4 linked regions of the Mytilus edulis genome follow. Each later gene encodes a partner of the first gene's protein in a complex. Links are inferred from orthologs where the notes say so. Each region holds a gene or a part of one and is shown in the gene's direction. Other genes may lie near its edges.

What was found.
Region 2: eukaryotic translation initiation factor 3 subunit C-like (region 1) and eukaryotic translation initiation factor 3 subunit G-like share a complex: the UniProt entries of both Caenorhabditis elegans proteins name them as parts of the eukaryotic translation initiation factor 3 (eIF-3) complex. The link is inferred for Mytilus edulis from reciprocal best matches to the Caenorhabditis elegans genes eif-3.C and eif-3.G.
Region 3: eukaryotic translation initiation factor 3 subunit C-like (region 1) and eukaryotic translation initiation factor 3 subunit I-like share a complex: the UniProt entries of both Caenorhabditis elegans proteins name them as parts of the eukaryotic translation initiation factor 3 (eIF-3) complex. The link is inferred for Mytilus edulis from reciprocal best matches to the Caenorhabditis elegans genes eif-3.C and eif-3.I.
Region 4: eukaryotic translation initiation factor 3 subunit C-like (region 1) and eukaryotic translation initiation factor 3 subunit B-like share a complex: the UniProt entries of both Caenorhabditis elegans proteins name them as parts of the eukaryotic translation initiation factor 3 (eIF-3) complex. The link is inferred for Mytilus edulis from reciprocal best matches to the Caenorhabditis elegans genes eif-3.C and eif-3.B.

Annotation. Positions count from the first base shown.
Region 1 is NC_092349.1:66,957,289-66,964,954, reverse strand, and holds the start of eukaryotic translation initiation factor 3 subunit C-like, read left to right. Parts: upstream 1-4,666; 5' UTR 4,667-4,801; intron 4,802-5,935; 5' UTR 5,936-5,945; coding exon 5,946-6,040; intron 6,041-6,557; coding exon 6,558-6,623; intron 6,624-7,032; coding exon 7,033-7,109; intron 7,110-7,666. UniProt on the Caenorhabditis elegans protein: Component of the eukaryotic translation initiation factor 3 (eIF-3) complex, which is involved in protein synthesis of a specialized repertoire of mRNAs and, together with other initiation factors, stimulates binding of mRNA and methionyl-tRNAi to the 40S ribosome.
Region 2 is NC_092345.1:11,400,219-11,407,201, reverse strand, and holds the start of eukaryotic translation initiation factor 3 subunit G-like, read left to right. Parts: upstream 1-3,960; 5' UTR 3,961-4,052; coding exon 4,053-4,072; intron 4,073-4,170; coding exon 4,171-4,217; intron 4,218-6,983. UniProt on the Caenorhabditis elegans protein: RNA-binding component of the eukaryotic translation initiation factor 3 (eIF-3) complex, which is involved in protein synthesis of a specialized repertoire of mRNAs and, together with other initiation factors, stimulates binding of mRNA and methionyl-tRNAi to the 40S ribosome.
Region 3 is NC_092344.1:35,625,044-35,632,736, reverse strand, and holds the start of eukaryotic translation initiation factor 3 subunit I-like, read left to right. Parts: upstream 1-4,689; 5' UTR 4,690-4,817; coding exon 4,818-4,820; intron 4,821-7,693. UniProt on the Caenorhabditis elegans protein: Component of the eukaryotic translation initiation factor 3 (eIF-3) complex, which is involved in protein synthesis of a specialized repertoire of mRNAs and, together with other initiation factors, stimulates binding of mRNA and methionyl-tRNAi to the 40S ribosome.
Region 4 is NC_092352.1:57,917,507-57,925,375, forward strand, and holds the start of eukaryotic translation initiation factor 3 subunit B-like, read left to right. Parts: upstream 1-4,864; 5' UTR 4,865-4,936; coding exon 4,937-5,075; intron 5,076-7,834; coding exon 7,835-7,869. UniProt on the Caenorhabditis elegans protein: RNA-binding component of the eukaryotic translation initiation factor 3 (eIF-3) complex, which is involved in protein synthesis of a specialized repertoire of mRNAs and, together with other initiation factors, stimulates binding of mRNA and methionyl-tRNAi to the 40S ribosome.

The DNA of each region.
Region 1 (7,666 bases):
TTTTCATAGACGAAACGCGTGTCTGGCATAAATATAAGGAGTAAATATAAAATTTCAATCCTGGTATCTATGAGGACTTTATTTCCGGTATGTATTGTCTTTTGTACCAAGTCATCATTCTGATTTTCTGCCGCCTAAATGTATCAAGTACGGAATGACCGTTGTTTTCTAATCGTTGGTAAGACGTGGTTCTAAACAAGAAATTGACATTAGTAAATGTGAGAAGAATGATTGTGGAGCGGAATTTACAACTAATACTGAAATTTAGAAGAAAGAAAAAACAATTTTACTTACTGATGTTTTGTAACATTACGAAGTTTATCTCTGATTTATATACTGGTTACCTATGTAAATGACAAATTGGTGCCATTCATAGCAATGAAACAGAATCCACATGATATATGCGACCATTATTTGATAAAATTAATATTACTTTGATATTACACTTTTTGAAACCATTTCTATCAATTTTCAGATTCCATTGTCTAAACTTGTTCATGATTGTGTTGTTTCCATATATTCTAGCCACTAATCTTGAGTCTATCCCTTTATTCAGATAACACCCCATATAGCAATAAAATTATGCTTGTAATGTCATTCATAACTCTTAACAGACCAATTAACAGACCGAGTTTTATACATCCGACCCATTAACAGACCACATTTTTATCAAAAATTGATTTATGTCACCAAAATACAGTTTTTCGTGTAGATTTTTCACATATTGATGTTAATATGGTAAACAAACATAATGCCTGTCTTTTTTCGTTGTTCAAAATATTGCATGCAAGTAAACTCAACCAACTTGTCATTTTTGTGTACATTTTGTGTGTGTAAAATGTGTATAAATTTACTGATGAGTAACTCGCCTTTTCATTTTATAGATCGTTTATTGAAGCTAGAAAAAAAATAATTACACCACTGGATTCAGTATTCCAAATCGTTTTGTCAGACATGAATAGTTTTTATGATATAAATATAATTAAAAAGTTATACAATGAAACATACTGACCTTGCAATGATTTTCTCGATAACACCTGATTAACAGACTTTAGCCAACCCGATTAACAGACCAACCGCCGATATAGCCGCATACTCAATATAGATTAACCGACCAAACTCTCGGTTAGCCGAGTGTCGGCCGTGATGTTCTAAACACCAAAATAGTTTCTTCTCAATATGAATTGATTTTTTTTTCAAATTCAAATTTTTACGGTAATACCGTATATGAAAATAAAAGATTTTAGGTAATTGAAATAAATATATTTTTTATTAATTTTTATATAAGACAAAGATGCCAAATATTTATAACAATGAATGTGCATTGTTTTATTATGCACAGAATGCGTGACCGTATTTGGGGATTTCTCAAACAAAGGTTATTTAAGAAATGTAGACAAGGTACCATGTTTTAACAACAACTCGTCGTCGGTACATGGGATATGATTTATAGTTTGCGTTATTTTCTCATTTTATATTCTATTTTGATTATAGTATATACAGTTTTCATCATTTAGAAAAATAATCATAATAAATATATGATCTTTATACTTTCAACGTAAACAATCTCGGGAGTTTTTATAGGTAAAATGTTTCAGTAACAGAAAGTGATTTTCAAACCTCTCAAATATCCACTTGGTGTTTGTTAATACTTTGCAATTTCACTGCAATCAAGCAGATTATTATGAAAACATTTTGTCAAGGATTTGTAAGTTGTTAAGAAAAGAATAATTTGCTATACTGTCTCTGAAGCTTTCTGATTTTAAGTACCAGCATGAAGCATTTTTTTTTTAATATTGTCGTATACCCAATGAAAATATCAATGGGGTATGGAGAGAATGCACATGAGATAATATTTAATATCAATACATGGTAAAATCAAAATAAGGAACGTTTTTATTCTTGTCCTTCATCTTCAAGTCACATGAGGCATTCAACAATGATAAATATTTCTCATAACTGGTAAGTTTAAGTTTACCCTTCGCATTGGTTTGAGCAGAATTCATGGTTAAATATCATACAACGCTACATTCCTTTTTATGACTGTTCGTTGATACTTTTAAATTCCACCAAAAGCGAATAGAAATGAAAACATTATGTCTAGGACTTCTCAACTTTTACTAAGAGGAATAATTTGATATTTGTTTGCTTTAAGATTTTTATAACTTTTGTCAAACGAAGTTGGGGAACGGATTTAGTGTTTCGTCTGTCCATCACAAAATTAAAGTCCATCTATCTAGTTTAAACATATTTATTAGCAGTGGATTGGGAAACAAGTTATTGCAACTTATATTAATCCCTTTCCACTTTGCAGGTGCGAGTGCTGTCTTTTAGCGGAATTAGCCTTCTCTAACTCGAAATCTACAAGGCTGTATTTTACGTGCAAGAGAACATTGGTCAGCCATATATTGTCCCCTTCCGACGGACTGTCGTCGTTTTTCAAGACCACACTCACAAATGGTGTCAAGGGAGAGCCGGAACGGGGATCGAACCAGGAACTTTTTTGTTAGTAGTCCTATGTACTAACCACTACAACACGACTCCCCATCTATCTGTGTTATAGTTATAGTTCATTAGATTTTGTTCATAGATGCGTCTTTAATAACAAAGGGTCATGATAAAAAAATAAGGTCATCTTGACCTACATTTCACATATGAGTTACTAATTGAAGTTTGCGTTAGAGTCCATATCTGAGATACAACTCGTGAAGAAATAATATTTGTCAGTAGATGCGTCTGTAATAGTCCGCATCGAGGGTCTTAAAAAAATATGTCATCTTGACATAAAATTTATTGATGGGGAAATGAGGTGAAAGGCTGCGTTTAAGTCCATATCTGAGACGAGGAATACAATTATTTTGTCAGTAGATGCAACCTTGATAGTCAAGAGTTTCAAAATCAGGTCTTGAAAATGAATTGCATGGATGATATTCGATTTCATCAACTGCACAATTAAGTTATATCTTATATAGCATTATCGTAACTAATTGGATTGGATCAATTCTGTCAATTGAGGATTAAAGTGAAGAGTCAATATAAAAATTGTTTATATAATCTTTTGCACTATTTTTACACCAAAAATCTCCATATTTCCGGCCAAAAAAATTCAACTCTCTCAGTGTGCAAGTTTGAAGTTTGGCTAGCTATAAAACCAGGAACACAAGGAAGTGCCGCCATGTCAGTACAAAGTCAGGAATGTGACAATTGTTTTTAATGCGTTAGATGTGTTTAAGTTTTTGATTTTGCCATTCCATAAAGGACTTTTCGTTCTGAATATCCAATGGAGTTGGTATTTTTTGTTAATTAACATCATTTTTAACTTTGTTCCATATGCTGATAAGTCTTAATTTTTCACGGATCGACGAGCTCAGCATCATCACAACCTAACATAACATTATACTATAAACTTTTCCCCGTGACGAACTGCTGAAGAATGAATTATACAGTATTTCAAAATCTAACAGTGCTTGTAAAATTCTCACGCTACCTCAGTCAGTGGCCCCGGGTTCTCATTTTATCCATTAGGAACATAAAAAGTAACGGAAATGTAATTAGCTTTATTGTTATCAAAATATTTGTTTCTGTGTCGATTATTTTTTTTCAACTTTTAACTATATAAGGGGAGATATCTCGTTTAGCGAAATTTTATAGTCTTTATAGTCCTCGTGATGAAGAAGAGTTAATGAAATTTGTCTACTTGTAGCAAGAAACAAGCTCATTTTCTGTTGTTGTTTTTTTTTGGATATTATAAAAACTTTCAAATATTTTATTCACAACTCTTGTTTCATAAATTTCTTACTTTTCACAAATAGTGCATAAAAGCCTATTAAAAATAATAAGGATTCTACACGTTCCCTTTTTAATACAGATACAGACAAAGTTTTTTTTATGACCCCCACTGTTTATTATGTTTTAGAAAGAAATAAAATTGGGGAATGTTTCAAAGCGACAACAACCCGACCATAAAGCATAGTAAAATCGACATTTTGATAAAGTGAGTGTGAGTTCGTGGTCTAGTGGTTAAGACCGATGGCTACAGTGCTGAAGGTCCCGAGTCCGATTCTCACTCGGGGTGCTAAAAATATCAGTACATCAGAAGGGTAATTTTCACCCTCTCACACACATCTCTGGTACCCAGACCGGAGTTTAAACTAGAATGGGTACTTTGGGGGCCTCGGTTGGTCAAAGTTGTTCCCTACTTGACCTGGAGATCAATCTTCTGATATCTCTCTGGTTTGTCTGTTTCCACCGAGTGGCCCGGTGGTTCTCTCCGAGTACTTCGGCTTCCTCCACCATAATAACAGACTTCCCGGTGTCCTAGCACTCCCTTAGTGTTGGGTGGGGATTGAGTTGTCCTTGTAAAAATAATTGTCGTATAAATATACGTTAGTGACACATCTCCATTAATCCCGATAGGGAGTGTACATGGATGATCATGGATGCCACTGTACCCTCGCAGCTTTCGAGGGGTTCTTCGGATATCGGAGGCATTTACCAGTACATACAGTATACGAAATTTCTGTCAGGGGAAATATTTAGCTATTATCCTCAATAACTCATGATTAATCCTTTTCACTTTAAAGTTTTCAGAATGTATGGCATGAAAGATCATAAAATGGATGAATATCGGAGATTCTTGCCTGACGGATGTACGTATCCGGGTTTTATTGTCGTACTCATAATTTTGTGACGTAGATCACAACTCATGTGTAGTTGCTGGAAGCCGCCATTGCGTGCGAAATAACATATTGCAGCCAATTTCATTTGTCATAATATCTTGTAAAATAGTATATACACTAAGGTGAACAAACATTTTTATATAAACTACATCTCGATTAAGATTTTTTATTCTATATACATTGTAAACTGCAGAATAAGCTTGTACAGTACTACCGTACGCATTGAGATTTAGTGCCGGTGGTCAGGGACAGGGTTCTTTCTTATTTGGTCACTTGAAGACAATCCAGCAACGCCAAACTCTATAAAATTTGGGGAAATCATTTGACAAGTAAACAAATACCAATTATGTGAATTTTTCAACACCAGAGGAAAGTAGACAAACTTTCCATTTATAAATTTAAAACATGATTTATTTCACCAAATTCAAAGGTTTAATTTGAATACATGAGAAATCAACTTTACACTAGTTGTCAGAAACTGTCTGAGATCTGCACTTTGTGTCTTTTTTGTTGTCGGGGATAAATATATACACTGTCAATTCCAATGGCCAAGTTCGGATGGAACTAGAGTTTTGACTCTAGTTCCATATGAACGGGACATAATTTTGAAGAGTAAGGACTCTATATTACCGGAAGTACAAGGCCCCTACTCTGAATATGTTTACATTCAAATTTGATTGGATCGACGTCATAACGTCCGGGATATCGAGTCGATCTCTAGTAACCCTGCCACAACCCAGGGCTCATTGAGTTCTAATGGCGGGAAAGCTATATCCAATCATAACAGGTGTTATATATGACCATGTCAATCCCATCTACTCTAGATATCCATCCGAACTTTGCCAATGTGCATGTGTAATATGGTCATACCAGGCAGTAATTTATTACCGCTTGCATAGTGATGTAACAGTGTTTCTCGTTAGTTTCTTATATGCAAAACAGATTGGGGCCCCTTCCGGGTTGTTTGCTTAACATGAGTGTTGAATCTGAGAAAATATCATGGATTATCAAGCATTCCCAACAGCATAAACCCTACATTTTCCCCAATTATGGGAGCAATTCCAAAACGATCTAAAAAAAAAATTCATCTCAAGTCATGACAGCACTGTTCATTTATTCAACAGTTAGCTTTAAGCTTAAAATCTGCAACAAGAAATGTGTAAATCTGAGTAAAAGCATATTTTTTTTGCTAAGAAAATTAATGAAACACGTGTATATTAACAATCATTCAAACATTATTCTTGATTATGTTTTAGCTAATTCAAGATGTCGAGGTTTTTTATGGGATCTGATTCTGAATCAGATGATTCAGTAAGTGATACAGAGGTAGCGCCAAGTAGAACCACTACCAAACCAGCAACGTAAGTATTAAGCTTACAGATTTATGCAAAAGTTTTAACCTACATGTAGTTAAGGTAGAAAAGGGGGGGATTAATAATTTTTCAAAATGTAGTTTAAATCATACTCTTTTACAATTTTTTTTTTTTTAAAGTATGGGTCTCTGGACTTTTTTTCATGTTACATGTACATGTTGTGCAAGATTGTCAGATCTTTTTAAGATTTATATGCATGGAAAACTTGTACTTCACATTATTTATAGAATTGTAAAAGTAAAAACATCTTGAAAAAAAAGTATCTTTTTCTGACTTTGTAATGGTTGATAACAAATTCTCTAACGATTAGATGTAGTAAGTGTCAAGATTAGTTATTTTTTGGTACAAATAGTATTATAAATTGTCATGATTTGAAATCAGGTGATCCAAAGAAAATTTTATGAACTGTTGTAAGAAGTAAAATCAAACGGAGCAAAATCAATTTATGCATGCAGGGTCAACAGTTTTCATGTAAATTTAAGAGGACATATATTTGCTTTTGAAGGGGTTACCAGTTCAGTGATGAAGAAGAAGAAACAAAGCGTGAAGTACGAAGTGCTAAAGATAAACGGTAAGAAATAAAAGATATAGATCAAATGTAGATTAAACTGAATTATTTTAGACCAAATAAAATAGTATGTGTGGTTCCAGTTATATCTAAAAATAAAAATAGGATAGGAAGGTAGGGATTATTTTTTACATTGAGTCTAAGGGAGCAACATTCTGAATTTAATAGTGCTGAATAAAAAATGATGTAAGAAAATCTTTAGGGTAAGCTAAAATTAAGTCTTAAAAGTAGGGTAGGCAGCTAGGGTAACTCGAACCACACATATATTTTTATTTGGCCTTATAGAATACAAACTTTTAAATTTAAGAAATATCTATTTCAATCTTTGATTTCAACTGGAAATGTGCATTCATGATGACATTTATTTTATGTTTCTCTTAATGTATGAAACATGATAATTTTCTTTTTACAGATTTGAAGAATTAAAGACTATTATGAAAAACATGAATAACCATAAAAAGATTAAAGATATGGCCAATGTTCTTACAGGTAAGTCAGTAAAAGGTGTAATATCAGCTACTCATATACATGTTAAAATTGTTCTTGTAAGGCAATTACTAATCTCCAGTAGAAAATTTCAAGCAAATATTTTTTTTTTCTTTTTGCAAGAGGAATGGTACAAGTTGAATGGCCAGGATAAATATTGTGCTTAATACTTTGACTTTGTTGATTTATGAAAGTATTATATGAACATGATGAAAATTATCTTGAATTTTGCTGATTCGAAATGTTTAGCTTATGTCAATCGACAAAAAGGGACCACTTTTAATTTAAGTGCAAAGATATTTTACTTCCATGGTAGTGCAAATAAAGTCTGTCATTATAGGGCTTACAAATGCAGTTTGGATCATTGATTCTTACAACATCACTGGTACCATTTATTCTTTCTTTGTAGATTTAACATATTTATTGCATGCATCATTTACATCTATCTGATTTTATCAATAAAATGCATGCTGTCTGAGTTGCCATTTTATAGGCTAATACAATGTAGATGAAACAAATTTTATCTAAAATAACCGCCAAGTACAAAAATTGTCATGAAA
Region 2 (6,983 bases), on another chromosome or scaffold:
CTACTCTTTGGGTTAAATGTACCCCAAATTTCAGAGGAATATAAAGAAATAGGTTTGATCATGTGATCAAATAGATGTAGACTGGTAGTAATTTTTGGATGTGAACGAATAACATCTTTGCATAATTTATAATAGCCTTTTAGACTCTTTTTGTACAATTCCTGTCTTGCATGAGAGAAGACACCTGAAGCCGAAAATATAAGGCCTAAATACTTGTAGTGCTGTACACATTCCAGTTCAACTTGCTGAAGAGTAAATTTTTCATTGATAAGTCTACCTTGCTTATTAAATACTAAAATTTTTGTTTTATTGGTGTTTATGTTTAAGCACCAGTCAGAGCAAAACTTATCAACATTTTTTAACTTAGATTGAAGACCATATGATGTGGTAGAGAGCAAAACAATATCATCAGCATACATTAAACAATTAATATTAGTATCACCCAAAATCAGATCATCATCAACATTATCAATATATGATGGAAAGTCATTTATAAAAATTTTGAAAAGATTAGGGCTTAGGTTATCACCTTGTCGAACCCCTAATTTAACTCTAAAAGTATATGTACATTTTATGGTAACATTTCCTATAGAGGCATTTTGAAACATTGAGTAGTTGGAAGAGTTTCATTATCATTATTACTCCATGTTTGTTGTACTATAAAATGATTCATAATTGCCAATGGTATTTGTTAGTAAGTACTAAACTATCCCCACAAAACTGTTCCCGTAAATTTTGACGTCGTCATCAATATCTGACGTCACAATGGAAAAAATAAACAACCGATACCGGAAACACCGGAAGTAACTTGCACGAGAAGCACTGTTATGGGTTTTTGCACGAGACGCCCCTGATATGGGTTATCAGACCGGGCTGATATGGGTTATCAGCCTGGGTGGGAAATTATGGCTTGTGTACTTCCGTTCGTTACACATATGCAAAAGCTATCATATTAATGCTAAGTATATGATAAATATAAATAATAAATAAAATAAAAACAATATTAACAAATTCTGCAAAGAGAAAATATAAAGTGATTGTCACAAGTAGACAGTCAATCAAACAACTCATAATATAGTAATCAGTGGTGTAAAGTAGCCAAAATAAACCGGGTTCACGGATTCAATTCATAAAATGTAAATTTTAAATTTCAGACCAATTTGAAATCAATCAATTTTTATAGAAAAAATGAATTAATAATATTCTACAGCTTGTTTGTGTATGCAAACATAACTAAATGAGTTTTTTTTTTTTGTTTCATCGAAAACTGAGCTACCATATTATGACCTTGTTTCGATGCATTTTGTGTTTAGTGATACACGAACATATATGTCATTACATGGATAAAACGTAATAACGAATGATGATTTTTATCAATTCTTGAGTGTTATGCTGAAAAATAGAGCTTTGGCCGAAAACAATAGATTGAAGGATATTTGTTTCCTTCTATTTTCTCTTGTATATTTACAATAAAATTGAGAATGGAAACGAGGAATGTGTCTAAGAGACTTGCATGGTCTTCAACACAGCAAGAAAATCCTGCCTAAATATTTCCCCCTTGATTCTGTATTTTTTGCTCATTATTCTCTATTCTGTAAACAACCCTGTTAGACCCTGGTCGTTGATTTTTATCACTCAAACATAAGTGTTTAAACAAAACTGCATGGACCGTAATCATGTTTATTCTATCAATATATTTAAAGTATAGTCGCTCGGGAGAATATCAATTCGAAAAACTAACAAGTTGTTGGATGGGACATTGTATGATGAACTCAACTGTTATAAAGAAAACATTCTAACGTAAGGGTACCCAAATTGCACCGAGTACCCAAATTGCACCTATTTAGAAAAAATAGCAACAGAAATCCTACAAGATTTCCTAGAGACTAATCACTTTGTATTTTTATGATTTGATACTATATACGTCTTTTAACATAGGTAAACATATTTAGATATACACAAAACGTTCACAGTGATAATCAACAGATGGACTGTTTACTGAAAAAGCAAAATGTACGAAAACGTCATCATGCGACGTCATCAAAGCGTCATCTTCCTAAAATTACCAAATACAATATCATAAGTATCCATTTCGTAAAATATGAAGAGTAAGCATGGACTAATATCCAATTGTTCAAAATATTTGAAGAAATTAAACAAAAGCTCGGTTATCAGACTTTTGACGATGTGAATTTATAAAGCATGGATGCAATTTGGGTACTCCTCATTACAGAATCATGGACAGTTTGGAGGTTGATTCAAACCCATTTTTTTATGACTCAATATGGATTCAAAATTAAATTGGTGTACCTATACAATAAAGAAGGATAGGGCTACAAAATACACACAGTATGGGCATTTTTTTCATGATCATAAAAAAACGTAGGTGAAAAAACAGTCAAAATAGGTGCAATTTGGGTACCGTCACGTTACGTGTAAATATGGACCAATGAAATAGTAAAAAATCAATATATATCCATACGGGTTCCTTAAAATGAAAGAGCTTCGAGTAAATTGTTCAAAATTGTCAAACAACAGTGACAAAATCATATCAAAAACATTAAAAAAAAAACATCGTTGCTATACATACATTTTTACTATAGTGTTCCTTTTCTGATACATTTCTCTTCAAGTTAAAATGCCATTGCCACAGTAAAAGTTGAAATAAATTCATTATCTCAAAGCCTGATATTTCATTGACGCCCTGTTCAATCGCTCCCACGGCTATTACACAATCACTTGGAACCTTCTTTAGCTTGGACAAATGTATAAAATACACGAAGCCATATTGCATGGATAAAACGGAGATGTAGATGTTGAATGGTGATTATTATCCATTTTTGGGCGTTATGTGTTGTGCGTTATGCCGGAAACTATAGATTGTGTGATTTTTTCCTTCTATTTTCTCTAGTATATTTACAATAAAATTAAGAATGGAAACGAGGAATGTGTCAAAGAGACAACAACCCAACTGAAAACGCAGAAAACGAGGCTACCAATGGGCACAGCGAGACAATCCCGCATTTATCTTTTTGGCCATTAATTCTGTATTTTGCTAATTATTCTCGACTCTTCTAACCACATTCAGACCCTGCCGTTGATTTGCACCATTAAATTGTTTCACATACGATACGATACGAGAAAAAATATTTCATAAATCATGCCGTTTAATTTGATGGATAGTTGCCTCATTGAGAAATTGTACCCCTTCTTGTTTTTATATTCATGTCAGATAAGATCGGTGCTTTATGTGTTTTTTGTCTTCTTTTTTTTTATCGTAATTTAACTAGTTTTCATTTTTTCACATATATTTTTATGTCTGTTCTGACACGAAATAGATCTTTATTTGTTTATTTGAAGAGTTGGGAAATGTTTTGCCGCTAGACATAGTATAGAAACAATCATCAGTTCAAAATGCTCGATTTTTAAGCTTGCGTGTACATAATAAATGAAAGCCATTAAACGTGAGTGATGCAGGACGTATTGGCCACACTAGAGGATCAACCACGGTCTCTTTCGATACAATCATACTTAACTTTAACAGTTGCAATTAAAACAGAACCCATCGAACACCCCTGGCTGCGGGTGTGCCCTCTGATCATTTGTTTTTAATTATCATTCCGTTGATTTATCTTTAGAAGTCATAATATTATGCTTTTGTCAAGTCATTGTTTAGAAAATATCAAACAGTCTACAAATTCTTATTAATTCTTATTATCAGACACATATACAAGTGTTATGATCAATTTCAACAGTTTTCTCTTGTTTTTATATGATGCATTTTTACTCAAATATCAATTATCTTTTTCATTTGAACAATTTTCTTTTTGTCAAGTAAAATTTCCAAAACAAATTTCTATAACCAAAATAATGATTATGAAAAATATGAAAAAATATGGCCGAATCAACAGGTGTCAAACTGGTAATGTGCCGAAATGACCTATGGACGAACTGGTATTGTGGCCGAAACGTCTCAAAAGCAACTTGGGACGAGATAATGTTATCATTTAGTTTTGCCCATTTAACCGGAAGTGTCAAATAAGTCAAGAAGCATGCCGTCAATAGACGCAGAGTATGTTTGGCTTAAAATTACTATATGATAGTCTACTATTTTCAAATCTGAAAGACTCCCTAACCTTGATAAACTCTATAACTTCTTTTCTATTTTAGGCCGAAAGGATTCAGTTGGGCCGAACAGGTAGAGCAAGGAGAAGATGGTAAGGCGCCTTTGACATATTGTCATCTTATCATATGTTCCAGCTGCTTTCATTCTGATCATATACTAAAGGGAGTAAATAAACCAGAAGGTTCTGTTTGGTCTCATTGTCTTGTATCGTTTATAAATTTAAAAGGGTGGTTGCCTATGGAGTATACTTTTTTCATTATAAGTTATAGTCACATGATCACTGTCGGTGTCAATCAATGGTCTACATAAATTAGCCACAGATAGCATGGATAGTGCATACATCAATCAGTGGTCTCGCTAGCCTGAAATAGAAGGGCGCCGCGCCCTGGGTGCACTCAGCCGCGCCCTGGGTGCCTTCATCCGCGCCCTTCTGTCCTGATGTCTTTTTTCCAAAATTCTCTTGTGCCGTTTTGGTAAAATTGCCTTTTGTTTCATTGATTTCTGATCTCCAAGTTAATTACATATATGACACTAGTGTGATTGCCCCCAGGTTAATCATGTCATTACAATCAATTACAATGATAAAGACTTCAAAGGTGTTAATATCTAGGTAATTTAATTAGGACAATGTATCTTTTTGTCATACATTTGATGAATGTGTCAGCGAGTGTGTTTAGCTTAGTGTGTTTAGCTTGGGTCGTCATTTTCGATTTCCAAGTCACAATGGAAGAGTGTATAAATGAAGACTTTCATGACTTTAGAATTGAATTTAAGTCATCAAAATAAAACTATGCCTTCACAGAAATGCCTTCCATCTCAACTTGTTAGCGACAAGCACAGTTTTTAATTAACGCAAACGTGTTGGAATTTAATTTTGGAGTTACTTCCCCTGTTTTAGCTTATTACAAATTTGTGCTCTAAAAATATTATCTAGTATCAAAAAAAGGAATAAAGAACCAATTGAATATATAATAACATAATAATGTTACCTTAAGGATATTAACTGTCTTTGAACATATTAAAAAAAATATATTGCAATTTCTGTTTGATAATTATACTTTTAGCAATCCATGTTCTAAACATTGATAAATTAGTAATACACAGAAACTTAGAGATGTACTATATAATTCATAACTACACAAACAATGAAATAAAGACTATAGTTAAAATGCATCTTTATTTAAAAAAAACCAACATATACAGTAAAAAAAAAGAGATTCGTTAACTCGTGATACACACAGAAACGTAGACAAAAAAATTTGCAGAGCCTTTTCTTATCATAAAAAGTGCCCTGCCCTCCACTGGCACCCTGCCTCTTTTGATTTCTAGCTAGAGCACTGTCAATATTATAGATGCTGTCATGTTTGAATAGCATCAGGTTTTTAGTTGAAAAATTTCTAAAATACCAATTGCTTTCATTATGTTCTTTCCAAACTAGTCCAAATAAAAGTTTATGGCGTCTGCTGTAATCTGGGACACCTTCATGATAGAAAGGTGTCCTGGAAAAAATAGCCTTGAAAGACGATGGGTCTCGGTGAAAACTGTTAAAATATGGAAAAATAAAGGTTGGCAGGTAGGTAAAACTTACATAAATGAAAAGATAAATGAAAAATGAACAGATTGATGCCCGATTTATGTAATTCCAAGGCCGTCAGTCGGCACCAGAAGCGACGAAGCAGGGCATCTATTTTGGGTGGGCAAATATCCACTTTTTGATATGGGACGAGCTCTGACGTCCAATGGCCCCAGCTTGTCTGGCAAACCAGCCGTTGGACGTCAGAGTAATCTCTGACTACACAAAACACAGATCAATTTTGAATTTTTGGTGGAGTCACTATAAACGATCTACAGTTGTGCCCCTTTAATTACAAATGTAAATATACGCTGAATTTTATGCTGCATTTCTAAAACTTTAGTCATGTTAGTTTGCCTCAACCAAATGCTATGAACAATGTACTGAAGTCAGCCTTAAACAAATGTTATGAAACTTTTACACATTGCTTATTACCGCATAATACAGATCAAGTTTGAAATTTGGTGGGTTCACTTATAGTGTTCTAAACTCATCCCTTTACAAATGGAATAAATGTTGAATTTTTATTTCTGTTTTCTAAAAACTTAATATAAGATTGCCTTTACCACATGTTATGAAACTTATACACAATACTTATAACCACAAAACACATTCAAGTACACATTCTAGTAGGGTCACTTTTACTGTTCTTCAGTTATGTCCCTTTATAACTTTATATGATATGCAAATGGGGCACTTTCTGTGTGTCATGTACAGATTCCACATTTATTTTTAGTGTGGTTGCACAGTATAACTCTGCAGACTTTAAAATTTCTAATCCATTGTCCATATTTAATCCACCATCATGGTTTCAATGAGAATCTTTAAGTACATAACATTCAGTTATTCTCCAATAGTTGATAATTGTGTCATTGATGTAATTCAGTTTTCTGTACTTTATGGTAACCTATCTTCTGCTATAAATTATTGCTCTAGACTTACCTTGTGATTAAGGAAAAGTTCCATGTGGTCAGGAAAATAAATAAATAAACTGAGCGTGAAACTCAACAGCAACACTTACAGTGAAAATTTAACCATGTTGGATTACATCGTAGAAAATCGTTAAGGATAATTTGATGGACATGGGGCACCATGAATAAAACATGTTGGGACATCACTTTCCATGGAGACCATATGAAAATTTCTCAGATTTTGTCTGCAAAAAAGAAAATTGACGCACCATTCCAAACGTCTCTTATGTTTTTCTGAAAATGAGGCTAGAAAAATATATACATATAAAATAAGGTGATGTGATATGATTGCTGATGAGACAACTATCCACCA
Region 3 (7,693 bases), on another chromosome or scaffold:
TTGTATAATAATTATGACCATATTAATGATAAGTCATGTCAATACAGAATTGCTGACTACTGGACTGGTGATCGTGACCCTCATAAAACTATAATATCAATGTTTAGGCGTAAATTTATGATAAACATGCATCATTGCTCAACAATTTGGTAATGTCTCGCCTATTGTTAGACTTTGAAACATTTCTAAAAAGCACTAGCTACGAGATTTGAAAAAAATAGAATATGATTATGTTTGGTTCAATCGTTCATAAAAGTGAAATAATGAAATAATGATTCGTTTTTGGCAGCAAATTTGACGCTACATTTTTGTCAAAATAAACAACGAAATATCGCTGATGAAGATTGGTTACGCATGCATAAGTCGTGTTCAGTCATTTATAAAAGGAAAAGAATGTCAACATTGAAGTGAAACATAGGTTTCTTATTAACTTATTTGTTTAACCTATAACATGAAATTAAATAGACCTATAAAAATCCAATTACCGTGACGAGGTCGCAATCTATTTAGATTTAGGTTTATGTTTATATCGGGTGATGTGAATGTCGGGAGTATTCGAGGGTCATCTCGGCAGTTATTTAGATGGCGTCTAAACTAAAATAGACATGAAATTCTGATATACATTATCGAGTACATGATTTGTCAACTGCTTAATTCAGACTTATTGTAATTTGGATATATACGTTTTAGTATTTTATAAATTAAATTTGAGGAATTGAGTCAAATCGTTGAACATGAATTTGGCAGCTAATGCCCCTTTAAAAACATGAGTCCGCTTTATTTTAACACTTACATTCTGAACTGTTTAACATCGTGTAGACTGCAACGATGAATTTGTATGGTCGTACGTACTTGATAATAAACTCATCATAGATACCAGGACTAAATTTAGTATATACGCCAGACGCGCGTTTCTTAGTGTGTCATTTCAGTTGCCGGCCCGCTAACCGTAAGCAATGTTTCTTTTGCAATTTGTCAGAAATTAAAACTTTTAAAAACTAGTTAAAACTTGCACTGAACGATTAGTTGCAGAACACTTATTAGCGGCCGAGATGAAACGATATTCAGTGGCGGATCCAGGGGGGGGGGGGGGTTCCGGGGGTGCGCACCCCCCCTTTATTTTTGCCGATCAATGCATTTGTATCGGGACATATGTTTTGCACCCCCCTGCACCCCCCTTTGCCCTGGGTTAGCACCCCCCCCCCCTTTTCGAAAATTCCTGCATCCGCCCCTGATCTTTTACTGTTTTTGTGAAAGGTATCACCAGCCTTTTATTCTATGTTTTCGTCACTGACCAGATTTACAACATATATCAGTAAAATAACGGTACTCAATTGTAAAAAACTATCAGATTTTTTGTTTTAAATTCAAAAGAATTTGAAAACTTTAGACAGTACTAAAATATATATGTAGTAAATTTGTGAGTAACTCATTAATTTGTACTGACAATTCAGCAGTATAAACGTAAATATGTATATATACAATACTACTAATGGGAACTATATCTTCAATTATTAATGCTCAAATGATATTTTGGTTAAAAACTATCTTTGTTTGGTTAATAAATTTTGTTTCAGAATATCAACATATGTAAATAACGAAGATCTGCTTTAAGGTTGGTCGTTTTTCAAATATTCCTAGAAATGAGAGAATAAAATTGAGAATGGAAATGGGGAATATGTCAAAGAGACAACAACCCGGCCATAGAGCAGAAAACAGACTACGACAACAATTAAAGGGGACAGTTTTCACACAGCGATAAAATCCCGCACCCAAAAAGGGGCTTTAGTTGTCCCCTAAACAAAACTAGTTCAGTGAAAATTGACGTCATACTAAATTCCAAACTAATATGAAAAAAAATTAGAAATGATACAAGACATACGCTCTTGACTTGAGACAGGCGCAAAGATGCGGCGGGGTTAAACATGTTTAGTGAGATTTCAAGTTTCAACACTCCCCCTATACCCCTAGCAAATGAAGAGAAAACAAACACATAGCAATACACACAGTAAAACTGTCCGAGTCTGATGTCAGAATAAGCTAAGATTTTATAATAGTCTCAGGAATAGGTAACAAAAGAAACTAAGAAAAATGATAATGATAAAAATTAACAAAGGACTATGAACAGTTAATAACATACCAGCTGCAGACCTTAATTAAACTGATTAAAAGATGTTGTCTTCATCCTATTTACATCAAGTACAATACCTCCCGTAAGAGGTTTAGCTACATACGGTCATATATATATTTTGTAAACTTGTTTTAGGTGTTCATAACAAATCCATGAATTTGGAAATTTTATCCGAGCTAGGACGATTCCCACTTTATTATGATATGATTAAATCCATGTTAGATTACTGGTATCGCTTGGAAAATCTTGATTCCCGATTTTCTCTTCTTAAAGATGCTTATGTTACATCACAGAATCTTTCTCATTAAAAAAAACCCATCTTGGTATGGCTCTATGAAATCAATTCTTGAAATGATCCCAGACATAAATTATCTATCTTCACCATTACCAAAAATTAATAGCTTCAAAGCTAATATGAAAAAAAATTAAAATCATATTTTATAGACTTGTGGAACACTGAATTGGTAAAGCATTCAGATGGTAAACTTAGAACTTATGTTACATTTACATCAATTTTTGGAAGAGAACACTATCTTTCCATTATTGGGAATTTTGAACAGAGACGAAGCTTAACAAAGCTCAGAATTTCATCACACCACTTAAGAATTGAGTCCGGAAGGTATCAGGGTACTCTCCAAAATGACAGAACTTGTACTCGTTGTAACTCCGGAGGTGTGGAGGATGAATATCATTTTTTATTCCAATGTGTTAAATTTAATGATGACCGCAATCATCTATTTCAAGAGATAACTAAAAGTTGCCCCAACTTTTCAACTCTTAACGCAAGAGATAAACTGATATGGCTTATGAACACAGAAGATAAGTCTATTTTCACTGCTGCATGTAAATTTATTTCGAAAAATTGTTAATTATGTGGCTTTCTTGTCTGCTTCAGACACCAGGAGGACTGTGTAAATACAACAGCTCATTGAGTACCACCCCTTGGTGTCTGTTGCAGTAGGGAAACCTACACTATTCTCAATACCTGTTTACTGCAGTTTATGTTATTAATTGCTGTGAATATACATGAACTTTTTTCATTTGTGTTTGTTTTTCTGCATCAGATACGAGGAGGATTGTTAGAGCTTTTAAGATCACAATCCTAGAGCATCGTCCCTTGGTGTCTGTTGCAGCTAAACAATCATTTATTTTATATTTATACATTTTCAGCAAAATATTATAAAATAAAGTGAGAGAAAAAAAGTAAATAAATAAATGGGGTTTGCCACATCTCTGGAGTAGCAACTCTCAAATACTTTTTATTTGACAAATAATACCTGTATGACTATTTCAATAGTTTATTTTAAAATGTTATGTAAAATACTGTATATTGTATCAATTATATATGTTATGTGTATATGCCCCCCTGGGGACCTAATTTGGAAAATAAAATTTATCTTATCTGATATGACCGTACTGTAGCTACGTTGTTCGGTGTGAGCCAAGGCTCCGTGTTGAAGGCCGTAAATTGACATATAATGGTTTATTTTTATAAATTGTTATTTGGATGGAGAGTTGTCTCATTGGCACTCACACCACATCTTCCTATATCTATAAAATATACGAGAACTTGTAAAACCCGTATTATGTCAACACTGAACTGGTTTTTGAATAAATGTGTCAGTTATTTCGAATGCAAAGACCCTATGAGTAAATCAATATTAATACCAAAACATGCCATTAATAAACTGACAACAGTTTTGTAACTATATATCTTCTAAATAAATCTGTTTAAAGATTTGGTTAGCTTTTGGGGTGGTTGCCGACATTTTTGTGCTTTATAAAGAATCATATTCCCATAAAGATTAGATGTAAAATACCTAATGTATCATATTCCATTACCATGTGAAAACTATATTGCTTAATCTAATAGGATTGTTCTCTTTGATTTTGTTAGCAAAAAGTATCAATTTTTCGATGTGTTACATTATCATGCATAATCATTTCAATAAGCGTTGAAGACTGCACCGGCAGGCTTCAAAACTGAGCCGAATTGGATAATTTACTAAATATGCTAGTGTTATGATAAGTATTTTTGTTATGTCTGAGTAAAAGTTATTGTAACTATGTATCTATATTGTTTGTTTCTATATTCTGTTCTTCTCATTTTTTGTTCTTATATGCTTCTTGATTGATATTAAAAAGTAAAATGACAAAAATACTGAACTTAGAGGAAAATCAATTCGGAAAGTCTATAATCACATGGCAAAATCAAATAACAAAACGCATCAAAAACGAATGGACAAGAACTGTCATATTCCTGACTTGGTACAGGCATTTTCAAATGTAGAAAATGGTGGATTAAACCTCTTTTTATAGCGCTAACCCTCTCACTTTGATGACAGTCTCATCAAATACCGTAATATTCAGTACATTGATGCGTTAACTAAACAGACACAATAATACATGTAATAGTCACAATAATAAATCACAGTTGAACTGGTGTGTTAATGTTGTCGTTATCATATTCGTATTCAAATTAACTTTGTGATTGACAAAGAATTATATAAAAGTTAAACTGATTTATCAGGTTTATGGTAGAAGAAATGAAAACTATAACGCCTACAGTACGGAGCTGTTCTCAAACATGAATGACAGGTTTTAACCCTTTCTCCAATCAGATTTATTTCCGGTCAACGTGCTGTCATGAAAGTTTATACACGAATTTCACAATAAAACAAATAGAATGGTAAGAATAATAAGTGAAAAGTATTTTTCACTGTTGTTTATGAAACACATACATATAAAAGTATACCAATAAGCTATGTACCAAGGAATATTTTCAAGTTTATTGGATTTATTCCCAAAAAAACGAGACCAGATGGCAAATTTCTACATTTTTAAACTGTCAACATGCCGGGTACGTTTCTCCAAATAACGTTAGACCCCTTTCACGTTCGCACCCTTTTCACTGTGCTTAAACGGCTGTGGTTAAGTTACCCACAGCCCAAGATGGAGCCGCCTTGCGTCGGTTAGATACTTTTCTTCTATATAATAACAATACCACGAATGCATCAATTAAACAACTGAATTTAAAAGTTGTATTAATCGTTTAGGGAAACCCCTAAACTGGAAAGGTGATTAAATTCACCAAAATAAACGATCACAGCACGATTTTAAAAAACACTTAGGCTGTCCGTAACTTCAAAACAACTTGTCCGTAACTTTTTTCATCATACCAATAGAGATGTCCGTAACTTTCAAAGAATCGACATACGCGGATGTAATGTTTAAACTGATGATAGAGATTCCATCGAATACATATTCACAAAACGAAGTAGATGTCTAGTATGATATAATTCATTGTATCGATGAAAGACAAAATTGGGAAAAATATGAAAAAAATCACGATAAATCCGTAAAACTCGGGTCTCATTTTGTATAACGTCGGGGTACCCGAATCGCCTAGTTCGGAGGGTTGTTTCCGATCATAGCAGATAAACTGTTGAAACATCATTGTTCGTTTTTATTTTTGAACAAGTAGACTACACAAGTATTTTTTACACATACATGTAGCATGTATACACTTACTGATTTTCTGCCAGCAACGACAAGGGTAGCGTGAATCCGGGATTTTGGAGGGGAACCCAAATTGCCCAGGCGTGCAGTGGATAGACTATACGAAACTTAAGTGCACAAACTTTTTCCGTCTTTTTGAAAAAGCCAAAAACACTTTTCTCTCATCCCCACAAAAACAAATCCCATCAGCATTGACAGTAAAATAAAAGGGGTGTCAATCTGGACACACTGGGACGTTGCGCACGGTGATATTGCGGCACCCTGGCCAAGATTTACAGTAAATGGGAAAACTTTAAAAAAGGACATTTTGTATAAATGAATAAACCTAGTTTTACAGCTAGCTGCATATTTCATTTGTATGCAAGTTGCATTAAATCTCATTAAACTGAATAAAACTAAAAGACACAATAGGTAAAAGTCAGTGACAATAAAAGGAAAAGAGCAGTCATCATAGTGTAACAATTCGACATAGTATATAAAAATATAAATAACTACGTAGGAAAACAGGGTAATTTAATAGTCTAACAACCCCTGATGACATACAAAGAGAGAAAAAAAACATACTAGGAAACATATTCAAAAAATCATAACACTATAACTAACTGGTGGGATGTATAAATACCGAGCCGCGTCAAAGAGTATTCATCAAAATACACATAGAAAGAAACAGAGGTGAAGACAAACTGCAAACATATAATTAAACTCAAAACATTAAAGAGTATGGAAAAGCCTTGGTCTGACAAGCGAAAAACGTCGATAAGACGCACATCAGTAAATAAAAGTTCAAACCATAACCAGGATGGAGTACCACAAACCCCACATAAAACGTCTGTGGTGTAAGTATGATGCGTTAATAAAATCACATTTGGTGGTGAATGAGTAGTATAAACGGCCGCGAAGGTTACAAATATGATGTTTATTGTCTTCTAATTGTTGAAATTATAATTCTTAAAATTTTAAATCAAAAGTTACCCACATCTAAAAATAAAGTTACGGACAGTCTGCTTAGTTTCGATCAAAAAGTTACGGACATCTTATGTATTTTTTAAAGTTGACCTTGCGCTTTAGTGAACTCTATATTAACAAATTTATGGTAATTGTTAGTCATTTCTTTATTCAATAATCCTATAAATATTTACATTCTGCATGAAAAACGTCGCAAAAGGTACATTTTGTATGAATTAAATATCAACGAGTTTAGAGTCCGCCATCTTGGGCTGTGGGTAACTTAAGTTACCCACAGCCGTTTAAGCACAGTGCTTTTATTGGTATTTACTATTGTCTTTAACTTAGTCTTAGTCATATATATAGTGGGCAAATAAATGGGGTATGCGATTTAACGCAAAAAAGTGCTACAAGTACATACTAAGCATAAAGAACAAAAGCCAGAGATTCTATACACTCAACGGCCACATACTCCATCAAGTTCAGAGCAACCAAAACCTAGGAGTGCAGATATCAGAAGACGTGAAGTGGAGCACGCACATAACTAACGTTGCTAAAACGGCAAATTCAACCCTAGGCTTCCTCAGAAGAAATTTACACCATACTGTCCACAGGAATGTAAGAAAACTGCTTACATTTCTCTAGTAAGATCAACAATGGAATATGCATCAACAGTATGGGACCCCTACAGTATAGCAGACTCAAACAAGCCAGAACAAATACAAAGACCAGCAGCACGCTTTATCACAGGTGACTATAGAACTAGAGAAGATGGCTGCATAACAAACATGCTTACAAAATTAGAGCTACAGGAATTGCAATTGAGACGCACAAGCTTATATTTTTGTACAAGGTGGTTGAGGGGCTGCTACCTGCTATTGATCCAGACGACTTCCTCAAATCAGCAAGACCAAGACAGCTAAAATGTTTGACAACTGTCAAGCCACAAACAGTTGAAAAACAAGTGAGGAATAATACCAGGTGTTTTGACATTCCTACCAGTAAAACACTGCAACATTCAAATTCATTCTTTGTGTCCACAATAGTAAATTGGAACCATCAAGAAGACACTATTGTTTGCGCAACAAGTGTAGAGAG
Region 4 (7,869 bases), on another chromosome or scaffold:
ATATTTACAAAACAGCCATGTAATCCTTCAAAAATGAGGTGAAGAATTTAAAAGGAACATTGAAACTCATAAGATGATTATAAACTGACTACACAATGACTAAAAAGCAAAAAAGCAAGGAGACAAACAACAGCATACAAAACAGATCAAAGAATAGTAAGCACTGAGCAACACGTACCACATGACAAAACAGGAGGTGAACTACAGGTGGTCTAGATGGTAAAGAAGATTCTGCTTCACATGTAACACCCATCGTGTTGCTCATGCAAGTACACATAATATACTATTAAAAAACCCACCCAAAGTAACTATTTTAAAAGTCTCGTGCAAATAACCAGTTTAATAATCTCAGATGGCATTTGCTACTCTGTTCTGGAAAGATTGTTTTTTTTATGAGGAAAGTGTACGGGATAACTCAACATCGTCTGATCGAGTATCAAATTCCAAATCTTGTTCGAAATCATTTTCTGTCTCAATAGTTTCATTTAGTATTTTAAAATGATCATACAATGCTTTTAGAGATATATCGTCATTGTTATCTTTTTTTTTTACTATCATTTAGATTATTCAGGATTTTCCATAGAGCTTTTGTATCCTTTTTAGAAATGTTACGCAACTCATCAGCAGCCTTCTGTTGAAAGTTTGCAAAAGCTTTATTTAATGTTATTTTATGTTCTTTACTAGCTTGTCTCATTTTACTTCTGTTTTCAGCATTTTTCAAAAAACTATATCTCTTTCGAGCTTTATGAAATTTTTTTCTACTCATCGAGCATTTTCTATTAAACCAAGGTTTTGAATTTTCATGTTTGTAAAAATGTTTATGTTTATTTATTTTCCCAAACGTTTCTGCCGCCGCATCTTTAAAATTTTTGCTGATATCTAAAACTATATTGTTTATATCATTTTGAGTTGCATCATTATTTACGGACAATTTGTCCAGTTTATTCATAACAGTGGTCAAAATACCTTCGGGATCATTGTGAATTCGATCAACGTATTCAGATTTCTGTTCACTTTTCCACCTGACAAAAGTTTGATCATTTCTATTGTTGATAACAATTGAATCTGATTTACTAAATGTGACCTGAAGTCTAAAATTTATAAAAGAATGACAATCAGAATATAACGGTATAAAGTCAGCAATTTCAAAATAAAAAATCATAGGGAAGAGCATTGCTGAAATAATTAAATAATCAACAACACTTGAATCGTTACATGTTTTCTCCCCAATATCTTTATCTGATCCAACTCTTGAATTCGCAATATATAAATTATTTTTTCTGCACAACTCTAACAGTCTATGACCATACTTATTAGGTCTACATGTACACTGAGACACTCTTTGTAAGGTGATTTTGTTTCGAGTCAGATTCTCATAATCATACAAATAATATAATATATCAGTATCACAATCTAAATCAAACATACTAACAACTGACTCATCAGGTATAATATAATCGGGTAAAGACCCAGTTTTTGAGTTAAAATCGCCAACTAGGGCAACATAACAATTTTCAGTGTTTGTTAGGATATTCAATTCATTTTCCAATTCTTCAAAAGCTTCTATAGTAGAATACTTAGAATTTTCAGGTGGTACATAAACACAACCAAAAATTACATCTGAATTAAGTGACAAAATTGATTTAGAAATTTGAAACCATAAAACAAATTGACTCTCAGTATTATAGAAATTCAATTCTTTTTCTAAACTCTTTCTATAAATAACAACTATTCCACCTGATGGTTTTTAAAAAAAAAAATCTATTTTTTGTGACATAAATATAATCGTCTGGTAAGTTTAAATTATCTAAATCAGTTAACATCGTTTCAACAAAAATACAGATATCATGTTCAAGCAAAATGTCAATGAAATCAGGAGACAATAGCCTTTTCTTAAGTCCACAAACATTTAAGAAACAAATATTTAAACTATCATTGTTAATTGTATATTTCTTATTCACAGTTTCATAACTTTTCAAATTCTTTTGAGGTTGTCCTCTTGCACCATTCCCCTATCTGCCAGAATTTGGTGAATCATCTGTGTGCGGTGGGCGAGGAGACGGTCCCTGTCGCTGTCTTTTGCTAGGATGGGTATCACTAGAATAAGACCCTTTTGGGCTCGTGTCATGGTTTGTTGATGAAGAGCCAGTATGCTCCGTTCTAGTGTCCTCTAATACCGTGTCAGGAATGTAGAGCTGATTGTCTATGTATAGCCGATCATGCACAAGAGAGGCTTGTCTATTTTGCTGTTTGGCTTGTTTTAACACCGGATACAGTTCCTTCCGCTTTTGTTCAATTTCATGAGGAAATTGTTCCCGTATTCCATATGGTCTACATTTTAGTCTGGTAGCATTTGCTTAAACATATTCCAGATCACGGTGATATAGGAATCTTGCAACTATTGGTGCTCTTCTGTTGTCCCCCTTTGTTCTGAATCGATGGACATTACCGAATTCGATCTTGTAGTCGATCCTCAGCTCATCGTATAGAAAAGATCGCAAAAGCTCTTCCGTATCTTCACCCGGAACTCTATGCAATCCCGTAAAGATCAGATTGTTTTTCATTGACCTGCATTGCAAGTCAAGAATAGCTGCCTTTAAGGACTCAATTTCCTTTGAAATGATGACTGGTGGAACACCCGGTCGGACGATGGTGTTGTCTTCGAGTTTCTTAATTCTCGTATCCTGATTGTTTATATTACGTCTGTTGGTTTTTACTTGTCCAGATACTTGATCGAAAAGATTGCTAACACCTTGGCAGCTAGTCTCGCAGTCTGACAGCTTTTTGTTGAAATGGCTTGCCTGGTTTTCTAATGTTCTAACCCTAGCTGACACCGTTAAGAAATCTTGTTTCAAATCATCAAGGTGCTTCTCCATACTTGTTTCCATTCGTCTCATTGTAGAGTCGATACCCGTAACTATTTCCAAAATCATGTTAAGCAATGTGACGGAGTTCAGATTTACATCATTGGAAGCGTCAACTATTCTTCGGCTTTCTTTAATCAACCTCGACTTATCGCTCATCGACATTCTTTTGATATGGAAAGAATTTAATAAAATAGTTCTTCTGATTAGTAGATAAGTATAAAAGAGGGACGAAAGATACCAAAGGGACAGTCAAACTCATAAATCTAAAACAAACTGACAACGCCATGGCTAAAAATGAAAAAGACAAACAAACAACAGCACACACGACACAACATAGAAAACTAAAGAATAAACAACACGAACCCCACCAAAAAACTAGGGGTGATCTCAGGTGCTCCGGAAGGGTAAGCAGATCCTGCTCCACATGCGGCACCCGTCGTGTTGCTTATGTGATAACAAATCCGGTAAATAGTCTAATTCGGTAGGTCACATTCAGGAAAGGGAAGGGGATTGTAGTTACGACGTAAGGAACATATCCGATATCATTTGTGATACGGTTATTCCATAACGGTCAACCAACTTAAATTAATACCTCTTGCTTGGGGCAAAGTCATTAAACAGATCACACCTGGTCAGAGAGTATTAAATTCTAAATAACATTCATCCAAAATTGCAACATCCTGTACAACTTAAATCGCACATGGTCTTTTGAATTCACAAGATAAGTAATACACGAGTTTATTAAAGAAAAATGGGCTTTCTTTTTACCTGTACTCTTTAATAGTCCGTATAAGATTTAATATAAATTATACGCTATATTTTTTTTATCGCAAAAGGGGTTATACTTTTTTCAGCAATTTTGGAAATGTTGAATTCTAAATCTCTCTGATATAGGAGTATCCTCTTCAATGAACTAGTATGTGCTGTTCATTTTTGACCCCTTGGCATTTTGAAATATCTTCCTATTTTAATGGCAAGGTTATGAGCACCGACTCTTAGTTAACACACCGACGATCGATCTAATCTATTTCATAAAGCATCAACATAAGCTATAAACGTACAGTCATTTTGTAAACATTATGGAAATTAATTTTTAATACTAGTATGCTGAAATATTTGCCTGGCAATCACGGGTCTAAATAATTTTTTTTTATTTAATATAGGATTTCTCTATATTTTTCTATAAATGAACTTTATCTGATACTCAAATAGAAAAATGAAATAAAAAAATGGGGTCACCGTTCATTTACGCTCACAATCTCGGAAGAAGCATACATTTTGTTAATGTCCTTTTTTTCTGTTGAACTAATAGGAGAAATAGCGGTAATATCGAAATAAAAAAAGAACTAAATAACAGAAATCGCTTAAATTTTACAATTATTTAGTTTATGTACAGCTTATTCGAAAACAACAATAAAAAATATAGGTCACCGATGTGTTAAGAAAGATACTTATATTTTAATGCAAAAAAATTGGCATTTTTGCACCAAAGGGAGATAATTTGGAGCTTTTTCAATGATATCTACATTTTAAAAGTCACCTGGGGCCAACACAAATTGATTTTTTGGAATGATTTTTGTACCATATGATAAAGGAACAACTACTTAAGGTAATAAACAAAATTTGTAATGAAAAATTAATGTTTTAATTTTTTTCTGAAAATCTTATACCCGCGAGCCTCCTTAAATGTAACTTTTCCAGTGTCTTTAAACGTCGAGATCATAAAAGTTAAATTGATTCAGATTGGTCACTTCATAGTTAGTGAAAGTATGAAAATAGTTTAATTGTGAAACTGATATTTTTTTCTCGTCTAAAAGTCCCTAAATAGGTAAAAATTGAAGATAAATGGGAAAAGTTATTATTGTGCTCCTCAATCTTTATTTTTCTGTGTTCGTCTTATCAGAGACATATAATACAAATGTAGAATATGTCTCTGGTCTTATTAACGTTTTTTTTCTTTGTTTTGTCATTTTTTGCGGAAATTGATATTATTGTTTGGTCATCGGTTTAACATTTATATTTCTACGCCTGCGCAATAAACTACCGGCGAATCCACGAGGGTTTTCAAGATGGCGGCTGATAGAAGCGATTCAGAATCGCGGAGACAAAAATCTGATTCACAGAATCAGGACGGAGAATTTGAGGATTTCGGAGAAGAACCAGACTTTAGTGACCCTGATGAATATGATGAAGATGTAACTGACGAAGGTTAACCTTCGTAACATGTTTTTTTCTACCCCATATGTGGGCTTCCGATGGTTTTCGTACTTCTGGAGTGGTTCAAAACCACTTTTATAAGATGTTTAGTCTGATTTCACCCCTTAAGTCTTGTTTTAATCCTGATCTATCTATACCAGTCCATATAATTCTTAGAGAATCCAACGATTTGCATGAAATTATGCGCAATCTGTATCTGTATCTGTATTGGGAAATCCCTCCTTCAAAGGAGCACTTCACAATGAATATATATGTCTATACACACTTAGTTTGAAAATATAAAAAATATAAATATAAACAAAAGAGATGAAATATGGGAAAGAAAGAATTTGCGTTGTAACTTGTATGATTGATGTATCCATGAGAGACTGAAAGCAACTTATATTTGTTCACAAAAATCTAAATAAATGAGATAAGAGATCAACCTTCCGTCTTCAACCAGTATCTATACCATATGTCAACTCTTTTGTCAAACCTGTTTGGCAATGGTATCAGGTCCGTTCGCGCCCAATACACGTTCGCACCCAAGGTCCGTTCGCACTCTACACGTTCGCGCCCAATTTTTATTAACATTCCAGTTGAATAATTGGAAATCATGATTGTTGTTTTAAATTGCTTTGGTGTAAATATTGAATGTATATAGCTCGGTATGAGTAAAACATTGAAGATTTTAAATGAAAAACACAAAAGATAATTGTTTTTGACAGCTTGGTAACTTTGATCTGAAACAATTAAACAATAAAATACATGTATTTTACACTATTATAACCAAAACATGATGAAATTTATTCAACACACAAAAAAAAACGTAGTCAGAATCTCACTTAGTTGTTTTGAAACAAGTCAATGAAACAAAGTTATAGCAATACACTAACCAAAACATGATTAAGAGTTATTCAACACAAAATAAAACGATGACAGAATCCCACTTTATTTATAAAAAGGATTATATTTTCTTTTAACAATACACTATCCAACTCATGATTAAGATTTATTCAACACATAAAAAAAAATGCTGTCTCACTTTATTTTAAGACAATGACAACAAGAATACTCTTGCCAAAACTTGCATGATTACTAAATCAAACAATTAAAATTGGGCGCGAACATGTAGGGTGGGAACGGACTTTGGATGCGAACATGTAGGGTGCGAAAGTAAAAGGGGGCGAACGAACCCGGATTCTTTGGCAATGGTTTGACATTGACAACCATCCTAACAAGGGATTGTCCCTCATATCCTTGATATATAATATTTGCCACTTGACATTAAGGTTCATCGTAAGGAATTGAAAAATATGGCCGTGTTTACACCTCCAAAATTACTATGAGTACAGACAAACTGGTACATCCAGGAAAGTTTTAAGGCATGGCAGGAACTAGATATATATAAAAGTTATATGAAGTCTACGTTTCAGAAAATTAAAAACTTACCTGGATTTTGATGTTCATTTTTTTCCAGTCTGCAGAAGATAGCAAAATAAACAAACACCCGAGTTTCATTTGATACGGTCCACTCAGTTACACAGTTTAAACCTGTAAATTCACCTATTGTTTACAGGTGTCTATTGTCCATTTAAATCAATACTACTCACAACATTGATTATATGAGGGGAGCTTCTCAATCGTTTTCACTACTTAGTTAATTTTTGCACCTTCTGCAGGAACGAAAAAAATGGATAGCAAAATCTAGAAAAGTTTATAATTTTCTGAAACATAAAATGCATTTAAAATTTATATATCTAGTTCCTGCCATCCCTTAAAACTGTTGCAGGTGTATAGGTTAGTCTATACTCAGAGTAAAATTTGGGGTGTAAATACGGCCATTTTAGCCAAAAGGTTATGATGAACCTTAAACACTAATTCATCAACAAGTTCAAAAATGTTCTTTCATTCTGTTGATAACAATTTTGTTAAACTACTTTTTACAATATCAGTGGCACATCCAGGGGTAGGATTGCGGGGTTGAAAACCCTCTTATTTTGGACGGTCAATGCATTTGAATGGGGACATAAAAACGAAACCCCCTTTTTATCCTGAGTTGGGACCACTCCTTTTGAAAATGGCTGGATCCGCCCTTGGATATAAAGTTTCAGTCAAACCTTGTCAAATTGTTTATTACTCTAGAGACAGTCTGAGATTTGCTGGGGAAAGTAATCAAGATATTTAAGGGAGTGTGTTCTCAGTTTCAAAATAATTAGCATTTCAAAACACTAGTATATATTGATAGGGGATTAATAAAGAAATTAAAAGAGCAAAAAAATATATAGGTCAATGTGCTTGTTTTCGAGATATTAGCCATTGAAATTTTGGTGGGAAAATATTTTCTCTTGACGTTTCATAGCTGTATCATTGACAAGTTTAAGTTCTCAAAAACTATTAAAAAATAATTAGAATATTATAACACGTTTTACAGATGGCTAAAAATCATACATGTAAAAGATTTATAAAAAGAAAAATGGGAGCTAACGGGCAAATTTTTTAAGGCATTCAAATGGATTAAACCAGAGGATTCTGAAAATCTTACAAAAATCCCAAAACATGACAAGCGTACTTATGTGCTTCCTTAAATTAAGATATGCTTAAAAGCATGCTTCTTTGGGCTTACATGTATATCATTTGCGATTTTGTACATGAATAGTAAAAATCACTTATTTGAGATTTCACATACCTTTGCATAAACTATTTGATTTATTAACAATGCATTTTCTTCTGTAAAATGTACATCACAGAAACTTATTGTTTTTTTTCAGAATTACTTGGAGATTTATTGAAATCGAAGCCAAAG